2 linked regions of the Oryctolagus cuniculus genome follow. The protein of the gene in region 2 interacts with the protein of the main gene of each other region in a biochemical or structural test. Links are inferred from orthologs where the notes say so. Each region holds a gene or a part of one and is shown on either strand. Other genes may lie near its edges. The genes, in order: EIF4B and PRKN.

Region 1 (3,812 bases), on a different chromosome or scaffold from region 2:
ACATACGGGTGTTAGAATTCAGGAAAGACAGAGACGGAAGCAATCATTTGAACGTAAGTGCTGTGTGCTTTAGAATCATGGCAGCCGTGCCAGGGCAGTGCGAGGCTTGGAGGTTCGAGCCTCAGAAGCGAGGTGGCTCCAGGTACATGCTGCCATGCGGCAGAGCTGGGCAGAGCCTGGTTTACAGTGCCCGCCACGCCCATCGTAGCTAACGTCAAGTCATCCAAGGGATGCCAACCAGCTACCCAAAAGCAGAAAACCGAGCACTGGCTCTCCGAGCCAGCTCCAGCACACAACTAACTGTAACGGAGAGAGTGAGGCCGGCGCGTCGCGACACCGGCCGCACCCCGCAGGCATTTTCCATCACGAGATCCCATATTCAGACTCTGCGGCTTGCGAGCTGACTCACCTGGTCGGGGACTGCTGCTCTGTGTCTGAGCTCTGGGACCGAGCAGGAGGGTTAGAACTTCGCTTCACCCAAGCATTCTCCTTTGGTGGAGGGGCTGGCATTACCTTTAGAGGCTGATCGGGTTTGGGAGGCTTAGAAGTTGGAGAGTGACAGTCCTCCTCCTTACTGAGGGTCTCGTTGTCTAGAGACTTCTCACTCTCTCTCCTCCGCGCATCTGTGGGGGCAGAGTGGAGGTCAGCGTGGAGGCTGTGGGGGTGGCACAACCTGCACAAGCCCCTGTCCCCCATGTCAGCGGCATGGAAAACGCTCCACAGCTGAGTTTAGCAGCTCCCGTCGTCATGAAAGACACCAACCGGGTGCCCGGTGGATGGATCCCTGCAGCAGTGTCAAACAGCGTCTTCACCAAAGCGCCTACCGGTGTGCAGAGAACACGGGAAAACACCCGGGGGCAGCGCGCAGCCATGTGCCAGGGCGTTGGCGGCTCCCAACTCCAGTTCTCACTGCTCGGCCCACTCGGGCTCAGCACTCTCACACACACACTAGGACGTGGCCACGCGCACACACTCATGAAAACCGATGTGCACTTATTTTTTTAAAAGGGCACCAAAAGTTTCCTTAAAGCCCAGAACCTGTTTGTCATGATCTTTCCACGTTTGTAAGCGCCAGCTCTACAGACGTAGTTACAGGATCAGCTCAACACTCTCGAACACTTTCCCTTTGCTACAAAGTCCCTAGGTACCACATGCAGTTCTGTGTTTTGTTTTTTTTTTTTGACAGGCAGAGTTAGACAGAGAGAGAGAGAGACAGAGAGAAAAGTCTTCCTCCCGTTGGTTCACCCTCCAATGGCCGCTAAAGCTGGCGCGCTGCGGCCGGCACACCACGCTGATCCGAAGCCAGGAGCCAGGTGCTTCTCCTGGTCTCTCATGCGGGTGCAGGGCCCAAGGACCTGAGCCGTCCTCCACTGCACTCCCGGGCCACAGCAGAGAGCTGGCCTGGAAGAGGGGCAACCGGGACAGAATCTGGCGCCCCGACTGGGACTAGAACCTGGGGTGCCGGCACCGCAGGCGGGGGATTAGCCTAGTGAGCCGCAGCGCCGGCTCCACATGCAGTACCTGCAAACTCCAGCAAACTACAATACCTGGAGGAATCTCCAAATTGCTTCAGCCTTGAGCTGTGTTTTGAAACGCTTAAGTACCAAACAGTTCAGAGACAGGAAAGGAGGGTTAAAGACTGGATCTTGGTAAGGGAAGGGGGAGCAGCACTGAACCAGCCAGGTCTCCAACACTACAGGTACACGTGACCCACCAGACACCAGTGAGGAAGGAAGACACACACACCATGACCAAAGGCTGGTCCAGGGGCAGCTCACCCAGCACTCCAGGCCCAGGGACTGCTCAGGGTCACAAAACTGCTGACACAAAGACCGACGATGACGGGACAAGGTAAACGGTCAAGTAGGCTCCAAACCCATCGTTTACCTCTATCCTGGTGCCCATTCCTCAGATTTCCCAGCAGGAGATGCTAAACTCCCATCAGTCCATGCTAACCCAAACAGAGTGCCCGCCGATCTAGCACTGCCAGACCGCTGTGTGACTTGGGGACAGGCAGTGGCAGTGACGATACCCACCCTGGTCTGACTTACTTCTGCCAGAAGCGGCTGCAGTCCCAGTCTGCGATGACTCACTTCCTGTCCTTGACCGCTCGCGTTCCTGAGTTTCTTCACTTCGCCAGCTTGGGTGTCTGCACAGAAGTGACGGCACAAAACACATCATTATGTCCTGTCAAACAAGGTCACCCTGGACCCGTGCTGAGCCTCGAGAACCATCACCCATCATCATCAGACGATACTTGCTCTATCCATGGGTGCGTGTGTGTGCATGCAGGCACGGGTTCTGTTCCCTCACATGATTTGAGAGTCACAGATACTCAGACACAGCTTGGGCTCTAAATCCCGCAAGAATCAGTTATTTTTATTTATTTATTTATTTTGACAGGCAGAGTTAGACAGTGAGAGAGAGACAGAGAGAAAGGACTTCCTTCCGTTGGTTCACCCCCCAAATGGCTGTTATGGCTGGCGTGCAGCGCTGATCCGAAGCCAGGAGCCAGGTGCTTCTCCTGGTCTCCCATGGGGTGCAGGGCCCAAGCACTTGGGCCATCCTCCACTGTACTCCCAAGCCACAGCAGAGAGCTGGACTGGAAGAGGAACGACTGGGACAGAATCCAGTGCCCCAACCGGGACTAGAACCCGGTGTGCCGGCGCCGCAGGCGGAGGGTTAGCCTATTGAGCCACGGCGCCGGCCAAGAATCAGTTATTAAAGAGCATCCTCCTCCAGGGCTGGCGCTTGGTGGAGTGCTTCCGACGCAGCCTGGGAGGCCTGCGTTCTGTACTGGAAGCCTGTGCTGGAGTCCTGGCTCCGCTTGATTCCAGCTTCCTCCTACGTCTACCCGGGGGGGGGGGGGGGGGGGGCGGGGCGGGGGAAGACGTGGTGGCTCAAGTGGCTGGGTCTCTGCATTAATGCAGGAGGCTTGATCAATGTCCCCGCTCCCAGCTTTGATCAACTGATGGGAGATCTCTCTGCCTTTCAAATACATTTAAGAAAATATTCTCTCACACAATCTATGCTGCACTTCTCTACTGTTAATCCTGTAAGCCATTTGTAACTAGCCTGGTTCTTCAGAACCATCAACTTACTTCTTAAAACTTATTTATTTACTTTGAAAGGCAGAGGACAGAGACAGAGAAGCAATGATGTTCCATCTGCCAGTCCACTTCCTGGATGCTGTGACGGCTGGGGCGCAACAGGTGCCAAACCACGAGCTAGGAATCCAGTCTGGGTCTCCCACGTGGGTGGCAGGAGCCTAATCCTTGAGCCACTTAACTCAGGCACTTTCACGTGGCGTGGCACCCCAAATGGCACCTTCATCACTATGCCAGATGTCCAGCCCCAGAACATTAGAATTTTTTTTTTTTTTGGCCAGGCAGAGTGGACAGTGAGAGAAACAGAGAGAAAGGTCTTCCTTTTGCCGTTGGTTCACCCTCCAATGGCTGCCGCAGCCGGCGCACCACGCTGATCCGATGGCAGGATCCAGGTACTTCTCCTGGTCTCCCATGGGGTGCAGGGCCCAAGCACCTGGGCCATCCTCCACTGCACTCCCTGGCCACAGAAGAGAGCTGGCCTGGAAGAGGGGCAACCAGGACAGAATCCGGCGCCCCGACTGGGACTAGAACCCGGTGTGCCGGCGCCGCAAGGCGGAGGATTAGCCTAGTGAGCCGCGGCGCCGGCCACATTAGAATTTTTTAAAGAGTCTTTATGCTAGTAAATACGTGACTTTTTAATACTAAGTAAATAAAAATAAATGATGATTTATTTGAAAGGCAGAAGAGAGGGAGAGAGAAAAAGAT
Region 2 (3,812 bases):
TTCTATTTCAGATTGTTGCTTTATTCTCCCACATTTGAAGGAGCCAAGCTTCCAGTTTATGTTCACTTTCATGTGTAGGGGAGAAAATGATACATTTTCCCACCAACCCTGGTAGTTTTTATCTAGAACTCCAGGTAAAGAAGTCAGACTAACCACAACAAAACAGAAGTTTATTAACACATTTAACTCATGTAATTATGGAAGGTATTCAGGTAAAATGAGTAAATATCAAAGAGGTGGCCTTGAATTCAGGTTTCAGTACCATCTTTAGCAAAGGACAAAAGAGAGAAGGGTGTGGGAGGAGCCAGTTAATGGGGATGTGGCTGAGAAAGTACAGCCAACAAGTGCGTAGGGCAGGTTTAGGGCATTGCCTTCTCTGAAGAGAAGTCTCTAGGGACTCAGAGCTCCTCTCCCTGGGCTGACCTGAGACACCCTTGCAGAGGGAGCCCTCCTTCACAGATGTGATCCTCCCTGACAAAACGTGACTTTCTGCTTTTGTAGAGATTCCCCTGTGTTTGCTCTTACTCAAGGCACTCATCTCAAAGCCATCCTTAATGTTACAAAGGCCTATTTCAGGATGATGTATTTTGATATTTAGCGGTAGCATATTCTGGCCTCCTATATGCTCAAGGTGGGGTTTTCCTTGCTTGATTTGCAGTGTTGGGATCATGAATGCCCTTTAGTAAGGTTTGCTTCTCTCAGGAGGCATCCATGCCAGGACATCTAAGTGGGCTCTTGGGAGTCATCCCACATGTGCCTTGCTTGAAATATCAGATGTGTTTTCAGCCTCTATCCAATAATTAAATTCATTTCTTATCTTGGATTACATAGGTATTGCATAGATTTCTGTTTATCTAACTTTCCCCATTTTGCTATTTGCTACATTATTTCCATTTCTCAGGTCTTCTTTCAGTACCCTAGGTGCCCAGTACACCTGAAGCAGAACCTCCCTCCTCTCTGTAACCTAACCAAGACCACTAGAACATCATCAGCTCAAGTTCCTAAATTCTGGGTTAATTCATTTTTCTATTTGAAGATAGTTGTGTTATTTCTACTCATTCACTTGTGCCTGGAAATTCTGTGTTGTTTTGAGCAAGTTCATCTATGATTTCAAAAATTGATTAAATTCAATTTAGTGATTTTAGGAGTGGGGGCAGGATAGAGGGAGGGCTGGCTTAGTGAGGCAGGGTAGATAAGTAACTGGCTTAGGGTGGATGCCCCATGCCAGACATTAATGTTGTCACAACCATCTGTTGATAAGAAACAGGCCCTGATCATCAATGATTAAGCAGCCAGACCCCAATCACCTCCTTGCACTACACAGGCAAACAAAAAAGGTTTTAACCAGATTGGGGGGCCATCTTGAACACTGACAAGTCTATGCTTCCTTCCAGTGGTCACAGACACCCTGTGGGAGGCTGGAGATGGTAATGAAGCTTCAGTATGAGGTAGACCATGTTATCCCAACCGCACCTGCGCCAACAGAGACCCACCCTGGATATGGTAAAATCTGCCCCCCTTCTGTAAATGGTATAATCCAAGGTGGGAAAACCTCATCAAAGAATCTGCCTCAGCCCCTCGAGCACAGCATCGTCTTGAGCTCACACTCACTCTTCAAGGGTGGACGGTGGCTCCGCCAGCAGATCCTTTCCTCCAACTGGTGTTGGTGAGTGTCCCACCACTGAATTCTTTCCTGTCTGGGTGACAAGAAACTGGACCCATCAACCCCTACTATTTGTAGGAGGCATTTCCTTCTATTTTATGCTTTCGTCCTGCTGGTCCCAGATCTCCCTGGCCCTGTGAAACCCGTACTAGCCCAGGACTGCCTATGTCCTGACCTAGTGCAGATGGGAGGGACATCACCTTCTACCCCATGAAGTCTTTGTTACTATTTTGTATAGTCTGTCAAACACACTCATGGTCAAAATTAATCTTGGTGTTCTTTTGACAATTTGGCTCGGAGAATAAAAGAGTAGGGCAACATATCAATATTGTCAAAATAACAGAGGAATAGCTCCCTTCCTTACCAAAGAAAAGCACTGTAAAGCAGGTTAGAGCAGAGACAGGAAGGACTCCTTCAGAGAAAGGCTTTCACCGATATCACAAACTACGGCCTTAGAACCCACACAACCTAAAATGACCTCTCACTTTCTCTGCCTGCTTTTTAAAGCTTCTCTACATCAACAGAAACATAATCAATCGAAATGTACTTCAAGAAAACTAAATCCTATTATCATGGTCCCGACACCTCCCATCCATCTCCTGACATCCCTCATATTCCATTTCATTATGGTGGCTCTGTTTGTTACACTTCTATTAAACGCATTCCTCTACCGTTGGTCTCCAAGTGCCTTCTCATGAGGCCTCCAAACGGTTTGTACACGCCAATCCAAAACTTACCACGGACTAAGTGCCCCCCAAGTGTTGGGCAGACTCTGTGATTACCTGGACTTCCAGCTGCTGCTGAGCCCCTGCTGCCATTGGCATCCAGAATAACAGCCAGCCCCACGGAGACTGCCGGCAGCATGTCGCTGCTGAGGTCCACGCGTGTTAAGCTCGCTGGCTCCCTCTGGAAGCCTCCTGAGGTCCTTCTGGGGTTGTCTCCTCCAGGCACGTTGGTCTCTGGACCTTTTCTCTGTGGTCTCTGCACAACATGAACAATGCTCTGCTGTTCCAGGTCACAGTTCTGTTGGAGCCAGGTGGAAACACACGGGGAAGGCAGCATTAAATGCATGCACAGTTTGCCTGGTCCTCGTCCCACAGTGTGCGAGACAGTCTTACACTTGGTATGCACGATTTCTATACGCAGCTGAGCAACCAGGAGTTGGGAAATGTGTGTACACACCCAGTGTCAGCACAGGCACCTGCCAGCAGTGCCAGGGTGCTTCCACACTGGGCACAGCACACACGCAACCCTGCACTGGGCCAGAAACAGAAATGTGTGTGTGGTGGAGAACATGACACCCAAAACCTAAAGAGACATTCAAAGGGATATGAAACCCCATAGGAAAAAAACGAATTACCACAATGCTTCCAGAGGCACAGTAGAAAATGATAATCTTAAATTTTAAAAACTGATTTACTTCAGAAATATGTCCTTATAATTATCTAATGTAAGGGCTGGCATTCATTTCTGTTTTATAAAAGAGCACAGAAAGTTAGCTATTGTCACCAACAGGGCATTGCTCCAAATAATTTCAAACACATTAACAATAGACCTCACACATCCCCTCTGCTGTTGCCAACAGGCACGCTTGCTTGACCAAAGGGGCAGCAAGCAGAGAACACGTGCTTGTGGACCTGGGACTCATTCACTTTTGATACCAATTTCACAAGTAACAACAGAGAACATTTCCAAAAAGGTTTTGAATCCACACGTGGGTGAAGCACAATAATACTAATCCTTAACTAGTAACAGGGGTACATTCTTCCTTCCACCTGCACCCGCCCCAGACTCCCTTGTTGTGGTCACTTTCAGAGCTTCCTGGGGTGGTGTCCATCACTCACAGGTACCCCTGCATGCACACCACTGGGCATCAGCCTCCTCCACACAGCAGCCCACCAGGATGCCTTGCAATCTAAAGTCCCATTCCCACCCCTTCCCCACTCTCACGCTCCGGCCTCTGTCAGGTTGATGGGTTGCTTGCACTGCCCCATCCTCATGGCTTCCTAGGTCTCCGCAGGATGGCTCCTGCTCAGCTGCGGTTACTTTCTGTCATTCTCTGTCCCCTAAGTCCTCCCCCTGCTGACATTCCTTCTTCAGTCCAAGCATCACTGTTCCCCACCTCACCCAGGCTTCAGGCCCTCTCCTC

What was found.
Region 1: of the proteins of PRKN (region 2) and EIF4B, one has a biochemical effect on the other in vitro, tested with the Homo sapiens proteins (2 studies listed by BioGRID). The link is inferred for Oryctolagus cuniculus from reciprocal best matches to the Homo sapiens genes PRKN and EIF4B.

Annotation. Positions count from the first base shown.
Region 1 is NC_091442.1:56,100,826-56,104,637, reverse strand, and holds part of EIF4B (eukaryotic translation initiation factor 4B), read right to left. Parts: intron 2,150-3,812; coding exon 2,037-2,149; intron 624-2,036; coding exon 410-623; intron 1-409. UniProt on the Homo sapiens protein: Required for the binding of mRNA to ribosomes. Functions in close association with EIF4-F and EIF4-A. Binds near the 5'-terminal cap of mRNA in presence of EIF-4F and ATP.
Region 2 is NC_091436.1:6,462,980-6,466,791, reverse strand, and holds part of PRKN (E3 ubiquitin-protein ligase parkin), read right to left. Parts: intron 2,687-3,812; coding exon 2,446-2,686; intron 1-2,445. UniProt on the Homo sapiens protein: Functions within a multiprotein E3 ubiquitin ligase complex, catalyzing the covalent attachment of ubiquitin moieties onto substrate proteins. Substrates include SYT11 and VDAC1.